2 separate regions of the Mus musculus genome follow, and region 2 is reported to be linked to region 1. The links are microRNA targets in miRTarBase. Many come from high-throughput screens and were not tested one by one. Region 1 holds a microRNA gene; the other region holds the end of a gene's coding sequence.

The links. The annotated mature microRNA mmu-miR-3089-5p reads UGAGUUCAGGGACAGCGUGUCU and lies in region 1 at 5,576-5,597, shown strand. An mRNA with a match to its seed (bases 2 to 7 or 8) in the 3' UTR can be bound and repressed. Matches are read on the target gene's strand: a 7mer-m8 pairs with bases 2 to 8, a 7mer-A1 pairs with bases 2 to 7 and ends in A, and an 8mer does both.
Region 2: miRTarBase lists Marchf5 as a target of mmu-miR-3089-5p. Seed matches in the 3' UTR shown: 7mer-m8 at 5,282-5,288.

What each region holds. Positions count from the first base shown.
Region 1 is chr2:30,715,647-30,723,265 of GRCm38, forward strand. Mir3089 (microRNA 3089) reads left to right here and starts at 5,564; the gene lies at 5,564-5,647. It overlaps Gm14488 (a long non-coding RNA gene), which reads right to left and starts at 5,541. Exons shown (of 4, transcript XR_866106.3): 1 at 4,327-5,541; 2 at 4,060-4,224. It overlaps Gm39782 (a long non-coding RNA gene), which reads right to left. Exons shown (of 3, transcript XR_866107.2): 2 at 7,409-7,460; 3 at 5,917-7,067.
Region 2 is chr19:37,220,768-37,228,386 of GRCm38, reverse strand. It overlaps Marchf5 (membrane associated ring-CH-type finger 5), which reads right to left. Exons shown (of 6, transcript NM_027314.3): 5 at 7,582-7,619; 6 at 3,930-6,997. The coding sequence ends at 6,881. Among named protein-coding and RNA genes, the nearest start is that of Gm25268, 8.9 kb to the left of the region's middle.

The DNA of each region.
Region 1 (7,619 bases):
CTGGATTTGGTAGGCTAACACCAACACAGGCGGGACCTGTGACAAAGTGAAAGCAGCTCAGGCTAGACCTGTGACAGAGTGATAGCTGCTCAGGCTAGACCTGAGACAGAAAGGCAGGACAGTTTGGTGGTCTGACCAGGTACTCAGGTCCAACTTCTCAGTTGGATTTGGGGAACTCGTCTGAGTGGAGATGACATTCTTCAACCACGTGGTTAACTTGACTGATAAGCTGAGAACACAGGCAGGTGGACCAAAGCCCTTGTGTCCATTCTGACATGACAGCCAAGTGCTGGCGTTGTCCTCACAACCCAGGAAGCACCCAGGGCTCAATGAGTTGTGACAGATGAAGAGCCTGGTGGACAGCGACCCTTTGAAGCCACACTGCTATGCTAAGGAGGTGGCAGGATCTGCACTTGGCCCACCCTGAAGCTGGGTGTTCTAACCACCAGGCTTCCCTGCCTTGTCTCCTTGGCAGTGAAGCAGGGTGCACTTCATAGAGAAGCCTGGGAGAATGATTGGAGGTAGGTGCTAGCTGCAGGTCAGGCCATCAGAGGAACTGTCTGAAGGTCACAAATCACAGCACCCCCAGCCCCATGTTAACTGGGAAGAATCTCAAATGATCACCCACCCTTCTGGCCAGTCCTATACAAAGCAAAGCTTCCACTAGAGAGGTTGAGACATTTGCCCAAAGACCCACAGCAAGATATTGCCCCCTCGGTCTGTAGCTAGAAGGAGGGAGGTGGACCACCTGGGTTCTGATCTGGGTCTGTGACTCGCCTTTTGTGTCAAAGAACCTTTGTGCGTAGTGTCCTTGTCCTGGAGAATGGAAACATGAGGTCCCTTTATAAAGGGGGCTGTGCGGGAGGCAGTGCTGATGAAGACTAGAGAGCCCAGGGGCCTGCTGAGATCCAGAGATCCCCTCCAGCACCCAGTGGTCCTCCATGATGCTGGGCATTCTGCTGAGACCCAGAGGAGCAGCTGCAAGCTTGGCTGCCGGGCAGCTTTCCTGCTGCACACTGGCCACGGGGGGAAGCTAGCTGGCCACCGGATACTCCGCAGATAACCAGCTCCTGCTGTGTGATTTCTGCTGGGCTGGGAGTGGGGGTGGGGATCAGGGACGCCCCACCCCCAGGAGGTGAGGGGCAGAAAACAGGACTCCAAGCCAAGCAAGTGGAGAGTGCAAAGACCCAGCGCAGAAAGGAACAGAATGTGCCCTACCTAATCAGAGCTGGGGCCAATGGCTGGAGCCCAGAGCCACAGGGGGATGAGACAAAAAGGTGGCATCCAGGGGAAGCTGGCCATCAGTGGGGCACGTTGTGGCAGGGAACTCAACATGGAAGCCAGTTCTGTTGCTGAAGGAAGCAGCAGCCTGGTCTGAGTTCCAGGAAGATTTGCATGGCTGGCTTTAGGGAGGGATACCAGGTGGGCAGGGAATGTGGGAGAGGAGCTCTGGGAGGGGGCAGAGAGGGGTAGGTGCGCACAGCACAGGCCGAAGCAGTGGGAACGGGAACTTTGGGAAGAGTCCGCAATGGCTTAGGGGTGGCGATCTAGCTAGAGTGGGTGTGGCCAGAAGCAAAGGGCAGAAGGAAATTCCAAGAGAGCAGCCCCTGGCTCCAGCGAAGACCACCCCAGCTGCACTTGCAGCCCAGGGCGCTTGGCAGGACCTCTCCACTTAAGACTGGTGGTTCAGAGACCAGCGTGGTCGGAGCCCCGGAGCTCGGGTCTCAGAGGCCCCGAGGGTTGTCTAAACTGCCTCGTGGGCACTCTCAGCACTCAGGTGACCAGCAGATGGCTGTCTGTAGGGGCGTGGCCCCAGCTGACTCTCAGCCTGCAGTGCCCACTCGGTCCTGAGTGTGCACAGCCCGCGGAGGACAAGCAGAGGTGGTAGATAGAGCTGAGGATCCTGGGAGGAAGCTAGCCACCGTGTGCTCCCTTCTGGGCACCAGAAAAACCCGGGAGCTAGAAATACAAACCCAGCCTTGGAGGCCTGTATCTTTCCTAAGGAAGGTGGATTTGTCAGGGTGGAGGGAAGGGATTTGATTTAGCTGCTTGCTAGCCTGATTTATAATTTGTAAACACTCAGGCAGGCCTGTGGGTCTCTGCATATTTCCAAAGTCCAGAGAAGCAGCCTTCTGGACCAGTAGCTGACTAACCCTTTGCTATGCTTCAGTCCTTCCCAGTAGTCCTTTCTTTGTGCTTGCCCCAGGGGTCCTCTGCCATTGGGGGTTCAGTCCCAGCTTATATTCCTGGAGACCACAAGGCTCTCCTCTGTCACTGGTCAACTACAGGGGGTTTGCTGGGGTCTGAGCAGCTGGGCACAATTCCACCTCTACTGCGGGAAGCAACACTTCCCTGAAGAGCAGAAGAAGCCTGTAAGAAAGGCAGCCCTGAGATGGCGGGGTAACCTTGAGCCGTTTGCTCTCCCGAAACCCCATCTTCCCAATGGTACCACTTGTGCTCACTCAGGCGCACCGTGGGACGCAGAGCCCACGTGTGCCCCGCATTTGTCAAGCACATGGCAGGGATTAGGAAGGGCGTGAGTTACATCATTCACTTCTTTTTACAGCTGAGAAAAACAAACCGAGGCTCAGCGAGGTGCAGCAGTCTGTCCAAGGTCACACAGCCCAGAACAGGACAGGGATGTCCCAGTTACACAGCACCCATGGGACTATGCGGCCGTAGGACTGCACCTCCTTCACCTATTCCCCGGTCCTCTCAACTCTCAGGCTCTGCAGGCTACGTGGGGGACACAGAGGTGGGTGGTGTGGGCAGAGCGCAGCTTGCTGGGAGGAACGGGTTAATGCGCTCCGCCGCATTGGGCCGGCCTCCAGGAGAGCCAGCCAATGGGCATGCTTGGTGATGAGGTAATGCCAGGACGCGCAGAGTGGGTGGGGCTTGAGTGGACCCCTCTGCTCCTTCTGACTTTCTGCTCTCCTTAGCAACCCCTCACCTTTGACCTTGATATCCCGGCTCTTCTTCCAACCTTGAGGGACTGGGATCATCAGCCCCCTGCAGCACTGAGCCTCACGCACTGCTGCAGATGTTCAGATGCATCCTAGCCTGAATAACACCCCCTGGACCTCAGTTTCCCTAGATGTAATTTCTTAATTGTCAAAGTCCCTCCCAGTGGGGTACCTGCATGGATCCCCAGAGCAGCAGGCAGCCTTGCCTTGCCTTTGACCTCTGCCCCGTCGCAATGGTTCCCAGAATCCGGGGCCAAGGAGTCACTAGGCCAGTCACACCCTTCACGTGGTCCCGACCCTTGGGTGCCTCTCCTGACTGATCCCACTGACCCCTTCCTCCTAAGCTAGGAACTAGCTAGCCACACAACAGCCGCAGCAGCAGCAGGCTCGCAGCGGTAGTTAGATGACAAAGTTCACCAAACCACTCGGCCTAGCAGAGCTGGGTTAGTTAAACGTCTACTACGGGCCCAGAGCTCCGGCTCCGTGTGGCCTGGTGCCCTACAACCCTCCTGTTGTCGCTATATGCTGAACGCCACCCGGGCACGAAGCAGTTAACGCCCTTGCAGCGAGCTGGCAGAGCCGGCTGCCCGGCTTATTAGTCAGCCGGCGGGGAGGGGGCGGAGGGAAGGAGGGAGGAGGGAGGGAGGGGTTCAGTGGAGAGCCGCAGAAAGCTATTCTCAGGGGCTCCCGTGTGTGGGGAGGGCGGCTCAGCGGGAACTGCCGCTTCCCAGAAAGTTGATTATTTTTAACCCAGGAAGAAGAAAGGAAGGAGGCCCAGGGAGGACTCAGAGAAGACGAGGAAAAGAGAGGAGAGGAGAGAAAAAGAGGAGAGGAGAGGCGAGAACAAGGAGAGGAGAGGAGAGAGAGGAGAGGAGAGGAGAGGAGAGGAGAGGAGAGGAGAGGAGAGGAGAGGAGAGGAGAGGAGAGGAGAGGAGAGGAGAGGAGAGGAGAGGGATAGATATTTGGAGGGAAAGGACAGGCAGGGCAGGGAGGAAGGAAGATGAGGCTTAGATATCCCACAGCAAGGGTTGGGGAACGCTCTGGGCCAATTCTGGAGGAGGAATAGATGTGGGGTACCCACCCCTGCTGGACCTACCATCCTCCTGTCCTTGTGGACTGGCCTAGTTGCATGGGGGCTTGAGGGAGGAACTGGGCACAAGGCAGTTCCAGCTCCTGGGAGTGCTCTCAGGTCAGTGGGCAGCACAATGGCACAGCCTTGTTCTGGCCTTCACGGTGACTCCTGGGAGTCTGCATGGAGGCCCTGGGAAAGAGGACAAAGAGGTTGCCTTGGTGCTTGGGCCGAGAGGGATTCACTTACGGGGGGGGGGGGGGGGGGGGTGTGGGCCCAAGTCACTTCTCCTACCTCTAGGTGGTGTCAGGCTGGGAAGGCACCTCAGAAGCAGGAGCTGGGTTCACAGAGTGAGACAAGCCAGAGACAGCTGGCCCACAGGGCTCGCAGGCGTGGCGAGCCATAAAAAATGCATTGGGTGCCCCCAAGAAGGCTGAAATATCAGGGACTTAGGCAGACTGGCTGTGTGTGTGATCTCAGCAGGGGTCAGAAGTGTCCTAGAGAAGGGTGCATGAGGATCTACTGGGATGACTAACTCAACTAATGCGAAGCCAGGGAAGACAGGACTGGCAGTCTTCAGGCCTCAGATCCAAGTGGTCTATCAATTCCTGCCTCTGGAAGGTTTGGCAGGCTTTTATGGAGCAGAGAGAACAGGTCTCCAAAGCTCCCAGAGGCTAGGAACTGGGGGCTGAACTCAAGCTTGGTTTGTGCCATGGTGGAAGACCAGCCTAGTGCAGATGCGGGAGGAATCAGAAAGCTGTCTGGGCTGGCTATGTGACAGGGAGGGCTGGTGCTGTTCAGGAGGCAGGGGACAACTCACAGGAGCAGGCTGGCAGCTTCGCATATTTGAGGGTCTGGTAGAGATGGCTCAGAGCGCCAGGTGAAAGGAAGACCCAGTGGGGAGGGCTGAGGGAGCTGCAGTGGCATTGCAGAATATGCTAGAATCCTGGTGGACCGGCTGATCCCGGTGGGTCTGCAGTATAGGCAGGGGAATCAGGTTTGTTATGGTAATGGTGCAGAGGGAGAGAGGAGGGTTCTGTTCCTATAATTGAGTACTGGGAGACACAGCAGACAAGACAGTGTGTGGCCAGCAGGGCTGAGCCTCGGGCAGGCCAGGCCGATGCCTGGAGCCTGGGAAGGTCCTGGGGACAGATCAAGAGGCCTCGGGTGTGATGTAAGGGCAGGTATGCATGTTTCTTGCTCTGAGGGCCTTGTCTCTAATTGAGAAGGATTGAGAGGGACCCAGCTACCCCTACCCAGTCACTCTGGAGCCCTGACCAGCTTCAGGCCTTTCCCCAGCAGTAGGTTGGGACTGCTCATTACCTCCACAGGATGTAGAAGGTGCCCACCCACCAAGTCACTCCCCACCCGGCCCCCAACCCCAACTGCTGGCAAGAGGAGAGCAGAGTTGAGCACACAGTAGGTCCTTTCCATGAGCCTAAGCTAGTGGGTAGAGTTAGAGCTACAGACTGGGCTGAGAGCAGAGCCCCTGCCCAGATGCCCTGGAACAGGGAGATAAGGGGAACAGCTGGTGGCTTGCAACTGAGTTCAGGGACAGCGTGTCTCAGTTTCTCTGTCTGAGCATCTGCTGATCCTGAGCTGTGTTTTTAGCTGCAGAAACCCAGGGCCTTGAGGCTCCACCCCTACACTCTGAGCACCACTGCTGCCAACGCCAAGGGGGTCTCGGGAATGGCAACTGAGAGGAGGGGGAAGGTTCTAGGACACATATGGAATCCAAAGTGCTCATCTTCCAGCTCTGAAGGGCCTGCCACGGCTAATAACAGTCTTCCAGCCAGGCAGTGATGGCACACACCTTTAATCCCAGCACTCAAGAGGCAGAGGCAGGAGGGTCTCTATGAGTTCAAGGTCAGCCTGGTTTACAGAGTTAGTTCCAAGACAGCCAGGGCTGCACAGAGAAACCCTGTCCTGGCGGGGGAGGGTGGGCTTCCCATCAAAGCTATGCTGGCCCTGCCCTCTCACCTCCTCCCAAGGGTGAGAAGAATAAGGCCCAGATCTAAAGGACAGACCTGAAGCCACCCCACGGCTGACTGTGTTCTCTGAGCCCCCACCCCTAACCCTATCTACAAAGTGCCTGGCTCCTTGGAAGCAGAGGAGGGTAGGTGTCAGGCTGTCATTCCGTGACCCAAGGCTCCCCATCAGTATGACAAGGGTGTAGGCTAGAGCCCTCTAAAGTGGACAAGACCCAGACTTCCCAGCATCCACTCTGAGAAGCCTAGCTCAGAAGAGTTGGCCAGGGCCCCAGAGCTGCACCTCCTGCTCTGTCCCCATCAGGCATCTCTGAGCTGTGAGGAGCTGTCCCCTCAACAGTGCCTGTGGAACACAAAGAGGGGGGGAGCCCAAGCAGAGAAAGAGCCGCGGGCTGCAGGCGGGCAGGCAGGCTCAGAGCGGCTCTGCTCCGCTTTCTTCTTCCTCCCTCTCTCTTTGTTAAGCTCCTTTTCAGCTGCACAGGCAGAGCCTGGGTGTTCCGAGCTGACAATAATTGCTGCGTCTAGACAGTGTCTGGTAGGAGGCCTCCTTCTCTGTGCCTGCCGGCCTCCCCGAGGCTCCCAGGCCTGGCCCACAGCCCCTGCCCGGCACCCTCAGAGGGTTCCCACACCCCTGCCTCTCTGTGGATGCCATGCCCACCCCCCACCCCCCAGTCTTTCTGCCTCCTAATTCAGTTGGGAGTACAGCTCTGTCCTCCTACCCTTGGGTCCAAAGGCACCCCAGTCTGTTCTATTTTGTGGCCTAAAGTTCAGAAACAAGACACTGTCCAAGAAGCACTGGTAATGCCAGAGGCCTCTGAAGGAGCCAGAGCTCAGCGTAAGGCAGGTGGCTGTGCTGCATAGGCCAGGGAAGCTGCCTTGCTGGGTGAGCTAAGCCTGGACCCTCAGGGTTCAATTCTAAAATTTGATCTAGGTTCTTCTAGAGTTTTCCAACCCAAAGCCCAACAAAAAGACACAGGAATCAGTGTAAGGAAGACCAAGCATTTCCCAGACCACTTTAGGCTGATGGGGATCCGTGTTTTCAGGAGGCTGGGGAAGGAGAACAAGAAACAAACATTAGGAGTTCTGAGATCTGTGCTCAACTCAGCCCTGAAGCTCTGGAAAATTCCCCAGAGTCTCCTAGAGGGTGTTGGGGCAGGCACTCAGGGTGCCACAGACAGCAACAATAACAACCAGAATCTGCTCAGCCCTGGCCCGCTCTGAGCGCAGAGCAGAGCCGACTCTGCTTGCATCTTAATGTGCTTAACCCCCTCTAGGAGAGGGCCCTGGGAGACAAGGGGAGCTGGAAAAATCCAAACGAGCCTCTGATTAAGACCTTTTTTTGTTTTTATTTTTATTTTGTCTTTTGTGAGTGAGGGGGTGGTACGTACCTGTTCGTGTGGGGGTTTGCATGTAGGAGGGTCCGTGTGCACAGATGCAAGCCTGTGGAAGCCAGAGACAGAGGTCAGAGTCTTCCTCTATCACGCTCAGCGTGTGTTTGAGAAAGGGCCTCTCATTCAACCCAGAGCTCACTAATTCAGCTAGGCTGGCCAGCAAGCTCCCGGGATCTGCTTGTCTGCCTCCCCAGCCCCAGGGGTAATA
Region 2 (7,619 bases), not on the chromosome of region 1:
CGGACACTGGAAAGTAAACCTGGATTTCCAGAAGACCAGCCAAGTTAGTACTCTGAACTGCTGAGCCACCTCTCCAGCCCTGTTTATTCTTATTATGGGCAAACTGAGCAGTGTGTGTGTGTGTGTGTGTGTGTGTGTTTCAGTACCATGATTTTTTGCTTTGTTTTGTTTGCATAGATTGAGGCCCCAATGAACTTTCCTGGTTTCCATGGACACAGTCACAGACATCTGCAGAAACACAGTGAACACACATACAGCAGGCACATACCCATAAAGATAATAATTGTAAGAGTATAGCTGAAAATGTAATATTTTTGAAGTGCTTTTCTTGTGCCATTTGGAAAGACCACATTGAGGATGATAAGTTTGGGCTTCTGGAAATACGGACGTATACAAACTGGGTGTAAAGTGGCCAGCATTTTGCCAGTAACAGAGACAAATGAAATACCCATACAGATTAGGGTTTTTTTTTTTCCCGTTGATGGTAACAGTACTTTTGAACTGGGTAGAACTTTTGTTTTGTTGTTTTTACAACAGACATAGGACACTGTAAAGGAGTAGATATTAGTCTAGAGGTTTTGAGATGGTTTTCAGAGGCTGAAACAGACCCTGGCTGCTACCATTCTATCAGTCCTGCCATGGATGTAAAGTAGTTTAATGAATGAACATGGCACAGCTGAGAGCCTTCAACATCTATCCAAGTCTCTCCTGGGAAATTAAGACTGGCTGAGCACAGAGCCTAATCCCAACAGTATGCCACAAATTCTGACAACCTGTGAGCTCCCAAGCAGATCCCACTGACCAAACTTATTTCTGAATGGCCGAATGTCAAGGGTAGTAAAATGGCTGCCAGTGCTTCTTTCACATTCTTAAAAGGAGCACTCATTCAAGGGGTCTGGAGTGAATGAGTGAGTGAGTGGACTGGGGGTTTGCTATCGTCAGCATTTAGAGTAACCAGAGCAAAACTCATTAACAGGCATGCTGATTAATCCCGTATCACATTTATGTGGCACAAAGCAGTTTTATTTACTTTTTAATTATTTATTTCCATTTTATGTGTATTGGCGTTTTGCATGCATGCATGCATGTCTGTGTGAAGGCATCAGATCTTGGAGTTAAAGACGGTTACAAGCTGCCATGTGGGTGCTGGGTTTTGAACCTGGGTCCTCTGGAAGAACAGTCAGTACCCTCAACTGCTGAGCCATCTTTCTAGCCCCAAAGTTTTATATAGTTAAGAAACAAACAGAACTGTTGCAGGGATGGAGAGATGGCTCGGAGGTTAAGAGGACAGACTGCTCTTCCAGAGGACAAGAGTTGTACTCCCAACACCCACACGGAGGCTCTCCATGGTATCTGATGCCCTTTCTAGGATTTGCAGGCAACAGGCAAGCATGCATTGCACATGCATACATTATGCAGGCAAAGCATGCATAAAATAAAAAATAAGCTGATATGGTGGCCGTGTCTTTAAATCCCAGTGCTCCAGGAGGTAGAGACAGACAGATCTTGGACCATTTTTGGACCTAGAACACACACTCCCCACCCAAGAAAATGGTGCTAAGGTTAACTTCAAGAAACCAGGACACTGCTGGTCTTCCTATGGGGTCACCCACAACCTCAACTTCTTCCAGCCTTTCCCTAATTCAACCACAGGGGTCTCTGACTTCAGTCCATTGGTTCGGTGTCAGTATCCATGTCTGTCTCAATCAGCTGCTTGTTGGGACTCTTGGAGGGCAGCCATGCTAGGCTTTTGTCTGTATGTATACTATAGCATCAGTAATAGTGTCAGACCTTGAGGTGGATCCCAATTTGGGCTGGTCACTGGATCTCTTTCACTGAGCCACCAACCAGGCAGCATACACTAACTGGTCCAAGGCCTTCAACACATATACAGCAGAGGACTGCCTGGTCTGGCCTCAGTGAGAAGATGCACCTAACCCTTCAGAGACCTGAGGCCCCAGGGAGTGGGGAGGGAGGCTTTGGTGGGATGGGGGTGGGGCCATCCAATTGGAGACAGGAATGGAGGAATGAGATGAGGAACTGTTGGAGGGCAGAACAGGGAGAGGATAACGACTGGACTGTAAAAAAAGATTAAAGATAAAAAAATTGTATGAAAAGGTCTATTTTCAATAAAAAAATAAAACAAAAACCAAAACCAAACCAAACCAAACCAAAACCAACCAGGACCCCAGAGGAGGTAAAGATGCCGGGCCTGGGGAAAAGTGCAAGTGGCAAAGAGCTTGCTGTGGAAGCTCGAGCAAGCGGGGTTCACACCTCCTGCACCCATGTGTAGCCGGAACCCCAGTGGGTCTAGGATTTTCTAGCCAGCCAGTCTAACTGACCAATTAAGTGAGAGACTCAACACATTAATGTGGAGAAGTTGGGGAAGACACCTGATGTTGTCCTCTGGCCTCCATATAAAGCACACTGCCTCCCCGACCCACCACAGATGCACACAAAGAACTAGCACTGAGAAAGGATTTGATCATGAAAGGAATATTTTCTTCATCCTCACAAGGCGTTTATGCACCCCTTCCAGAAGCAGAAATTCTAGTGCTAGAATTGAAGAGTAAAAAAAAAAAAACTTAAAAAGAAAAACAAACAAACAAACACCTTTAAGAGACTTGTATCAGTAATGCAGGCTTATCCACCAGTACCTGGGGCATGGCCAGCAAGTATCTACTGCTTTGGATACAGTTATCTTAACCACAAAGGCTTGAAAGCTTCATTAACTTGAACAGACGGAGTCTAGCCTGTTGCTGGTCCTTAAGGCTCTGGTTAAGTATCAGATGCAAGCCCTCCCCGCCTTGCCTGAGCTAAAGAAGGCAGGCAGCTGGGAAGCAGCGGCCCAAGCTAAGTTTAGGGACGAACTTCCACTGCATACGTATTTGTACAGACTCTCTTGAATATCAAACTTTGTAAAAAGCCACTTCACCTAATCTTCACAACAACCCGGGAAATAATCAGGTTTGGGTCTGGGAGGTATCTCTCTTTACCAGCTAGGGCATGCACCCAAGGCCACTGAACTGTTTCAGCAACTAGTCTGTATATCAGGCAATAAAGCAACTTAGAACAACAGAATTGCTAAGATGCAAGTGCCTTGGACTCATTCAACTTGGAACATTCTAATCTGCTTTAGAAACTTTAAAACATTTTTAGTGTTTCCCCTGCCTGTATGTCTTTGTACCACATGCATGCCTGGTACCTGCAGAGATCAGAAGGTATCAGATCTCCCTAAAACTAGAGTTACATGTATGTGGGTGCTGGGAACGCAACCCTGTCCCTCTACAAGAGCAACAAGTACTCTTAACTGCAGCCTTCTCTCCAGTCCCTACATTAGAAACATCTTGTCTGAGTACTTCAAGCTGGTTTTGGCGGCACATGCCTATAATCGTAGCCTTTCAGAGGTAGAGTAAGACATGAAGATTCATGGTCAGCCTCAGCTCCATACAAAGTTTGGTGTCAATTTGGGCTACATGAAACTTTCAACACCCCCATTATCCCACTATTTTTAAAGATCCTAGTATCTTAGAGGAAGCAGGTCTTATATACTAAGTTCCAGGGGTTGTATCTGGGGGGAGGGGACTCCCCCTTCTCCGAGAAGGGAAGTGGGGATGGGAGAAGAGTTATGTGAAGGGGGAACTGGAGGGAGAGGTGGGGCTTTGATCAGGATGTAAAGTGAATAAATAGAAAAACAAAGTGCTTACTGCTCTTACAGTGGACGCAGGTTTAGTTCTTAGCACCCATGTCTGGTGGCTCACAATTACCTGTGAGCCACAAGGAATCTGGTGCCCTTCTGGACTCTATAGGCATTTGCACTCAATGTGCACACACCCACATAGAGATACACTTAACTAAAAATAAATATTTAAAACTTAACTTCAAAATAGTGAAATAAGTTTAGGGTTGGTTCAACAGACAAAATACACTTAGAGAGCATAAAAATTGTTTATTCAACCTATTTCAGCCAGTATTGAGTTTTCTATATTAAAAACAAGGAATTAGAAAAAAAAATACAGCAAAATTAGCAAGGCAGTGACTAATGAAGCCACTTAATTATATATTCTTCAACCATTTGGTAAGTAATGAACATTTTCAGCCAACTTAGATGGAGTTAACTTCTACAATAGAATTTTACTAATCACTGAATTCTAATTTTTTTAAAAAAAGGTTTAAATGTGACATTTCTAGGACAAAAAGAAAGGAAGGAAGGAAGGAAGGAAGGAAGGAAGGAAGGAAGGAAGGAAGGAAGAAAAAGAAAGAAAATCGGAGAACAGCATACTCACAAATCCTCAAGTCTGTGCTGGCTCTGTCCTCGAGGGCCCTACCCTTGGTTACTGCCCTGTCCTAGATGGGACGACCACCTTTAGGAGCTACTGAGGCCGAAAGTACCTGTCTTTTCTCAACCAAATCCTAGAAAGTGTCTAGGTGTGACTTGCATTTTAGAGATGAACGTAACTGTGGCTGAATAGCCACCTGGCCAAGGTTATACACTACAGCTACTAAAACTTGATGGGAGCTCAACGTAACCTATTCAGCTTTCAGTCTGCCCATGTCTTTTGATTTGTGGTTCCAGGGAGGCCTGTCATGTGGTGTTCAAATGCAGCAGGGCTAGTGTTCACTCTGGACTGCAGACAAGTGTGGCTCCCTCCCCATAGCTCTATAAACCTCTGCCTTCACGGGCCTTGATGCCAATAGATCGATCCAAGCAGCTCCCCACCCCCCACCACCACCCCGGAAATTAAAGTAGTACACAGGGAGCTGAGGGCTTGTGGCTGTGTAAAAGCTGCTCAACTTAACAGGAGTATCCAGGAAATGTCAGAATATATATATTTTCACACTGGCAATGATGGAAGCCAATTTCATAATTACAGCTGTAGATCTTAGTTATTTTTATATATAATCAGGGTTCACATTTTCTCTACAGAATAACAGCAGTGTTAAGGTTAACTCAGTCAAATTGCCCCTTATACCCTAGATAATTACAACTCTGGATGTTCAAAAGAGTCATTCCCACAGACACCGTAAAACTCAAAACTGAGATAACCAACCTAGAGAAAGATACCAGTCTTTACTAAAATATTTATTTACAATCTAACACAGCTCAATCTATATTTGTTACACTTCTAAAGAGAAGTATCCATTTCGCAGAAAGGGGGAGCATTATCATGCATCATATACTGTGAACAGCATTATTTTTTAAACTTTAAAAATTTTCATTCTAGGGGCTGGTGAGATGGCTCAGCGGGTAAGAGCACCCGACTGTTCTTCCGAAGGTCCGGAGTTCAAATCCCAGCAACCACATGGTGGCTCACAACCACCCATAATGAGATCTGACTCCCTCTTCTGGAGTGTCTGAAGACAGCTACAGTGTACTTACATATAATAAATAAATAAATCTTTAAAAAAAATTTTTCATTCTAATCAGATTGCTGAACATTGTAATGGTCACTATTAAACATGACCTAAATAATTGCTTTTGAACAATGAATATAAAACTAGTTAAACAATGACTAGTAAGGAGATCGCCCCCTTAATATGACAACTAAAATCTAAAAGGAGGGCTGGTGATGTAGTGTATACCTAGCATGTGTAAGGCCCTAGGTTCAATCCACAGCATTAAGTTAGAAAAGCAGGTGTTGTGGTGCTCACCTGTAGTTAGGAGGCTCAGGGATCAGGAGCTCAAGGCCACCTTCAGATACACAGGAAGTCTGAGGTTAGCTATGCTAGAGACCCTGATTCAAAAACAAGATACCCTAAAAACAGTATTGGCTATCCTATAAACAGATAAAGTGGAAACCAATGACCCTGATCAATACTCCATAATTACCTCACTGATATTCAAGAGCTCCCTTGGGTTCAATCAGTGCTTGTTCTATTAGACTGCAGACTCTCTGAACAAGTTCCCCAACTCTATCCCATAGCACCTGCACAGTGACTAGGTAAGTGGGAGCCAGTTAACAAATATCTGAATAACGGAATCAACAGAAACCCAATAATTTTATTATCATTTTTTGCAAGTTGTTCTCTGCTTAACCTATGAATCAGTAGTTCTAATTTGTAGAAATACAAATTTAAAAACATACTAAGTGATAAAAGGGCCTTCCACCTCATTTCCCTATCACTATCCTCTGCTTCCCTCCCTCCTACCTTCTTTCTGAAGTCCCCTTCCCCGCTCACACACACACCCTCACACCACACACACAGGACGACTACGAGTCAAAAGTACACTATGAACTATGAGATGTCAACATTGCATAAATAAAGTTTAATAGTGAAAAAGTGCTTTGGAAGCCCTGGAAACTGACCCTTCACATCTGAGATGTCACATGGGTTTAGGAAAAGAAAACAAAATCTCTTTTGTTCAGATAATCACTTCAATGCTGACATACATTTCTGGGTTTGTTATTTATTCAGAACTAGTTTACACTTCCTCCTGTTAACAGAGGCTCCTTTGTAGCATACAATCAATTACACCAATGAGAAAAGCCCTCACAGTTCCTTCATCGAGTTGCTATTCCTAAGAAAACACTGAACTGAGTATATACAAAAGAGGCGTCAGAATAAAACATGTCCACTTTTAATGTTTGTACAGTTTTATCTTTACATTCTTGTCTGGAAAAATATGAACAAACTCAGGTTTCCCATGCTAAAATAATGGTTTAGCCGACTGCCATAAAAGTAGAACATACAAATGACAGAGCTGACGCGTGTCCTTAGGTCCGTGATTACTGGGCGGCTTGCCCCGGCCCTGCGTGCTTTATTGTATCTCTTAGAATATAGGAGCAGCGTCACAAGTCTCCACTAGCGCATTAATGATGGAATCAGAACACAACAGACTCGTCAGGATGAGAGGCCTCAGAACAACCAGAAGTCAGTTTTATGCTTCTTCTTGCTCTGGATAATTTAGGATTTTGCGGTGTGCCTGACGTAAATATTGCTGCTGTTTGAAGTAAACCTTAAATGCTCCTTTTATGGCAACAAAAGCAATTCCACCCTAAAATAAAAAGGGAAATTAATGTTTTTATAATGCAGGATCAGATAAACAAGAAAAAGAACTTTACACCTATCACAAAAGACAGGATTTGAAGCCAAGTAAATGCTGATAATTACAAGTGAAACATTCTCTTCTGTGAGGGCAGAAGTTGGGAAAGAGCAGGCTTCAAGTAGCAAAGGAAGAGGCCCTGTTCCTACATCACTTGTGTAGCTTTCTTCCCATGGAGTTCTTACACACTGAGAGAGAGGAGAATGCCAGGCACTATGTGGGCTGCAACCAAGGAGGGCAAACAGGATGACAGGAAACAGTATGAGCCAGTTTCATCTCAGTTGTTTATTTATGATGCTGGTACTGGGGACTGAACCCAGAGCGCAGTCCAGAAGAGAAGGTACCCACAGGGAGGGTCCAGGAGGCAGCTGGCACAGGACCTGCTTTCTTTTTTTAATTTCTCTCAAGCTATGCTGACAGTGGGGGTTGATGGAGGGAGCAGACAGAGCCCCTACATAACATCTCTCCCTTTAAACACAAATAGTTAGCTCTCATCTGTATACTACTTGAAACAAGTAACATTAAATCCATCTTACCAAGATTGTCCTTTGTAAATTTGAGTTAACACTACTGA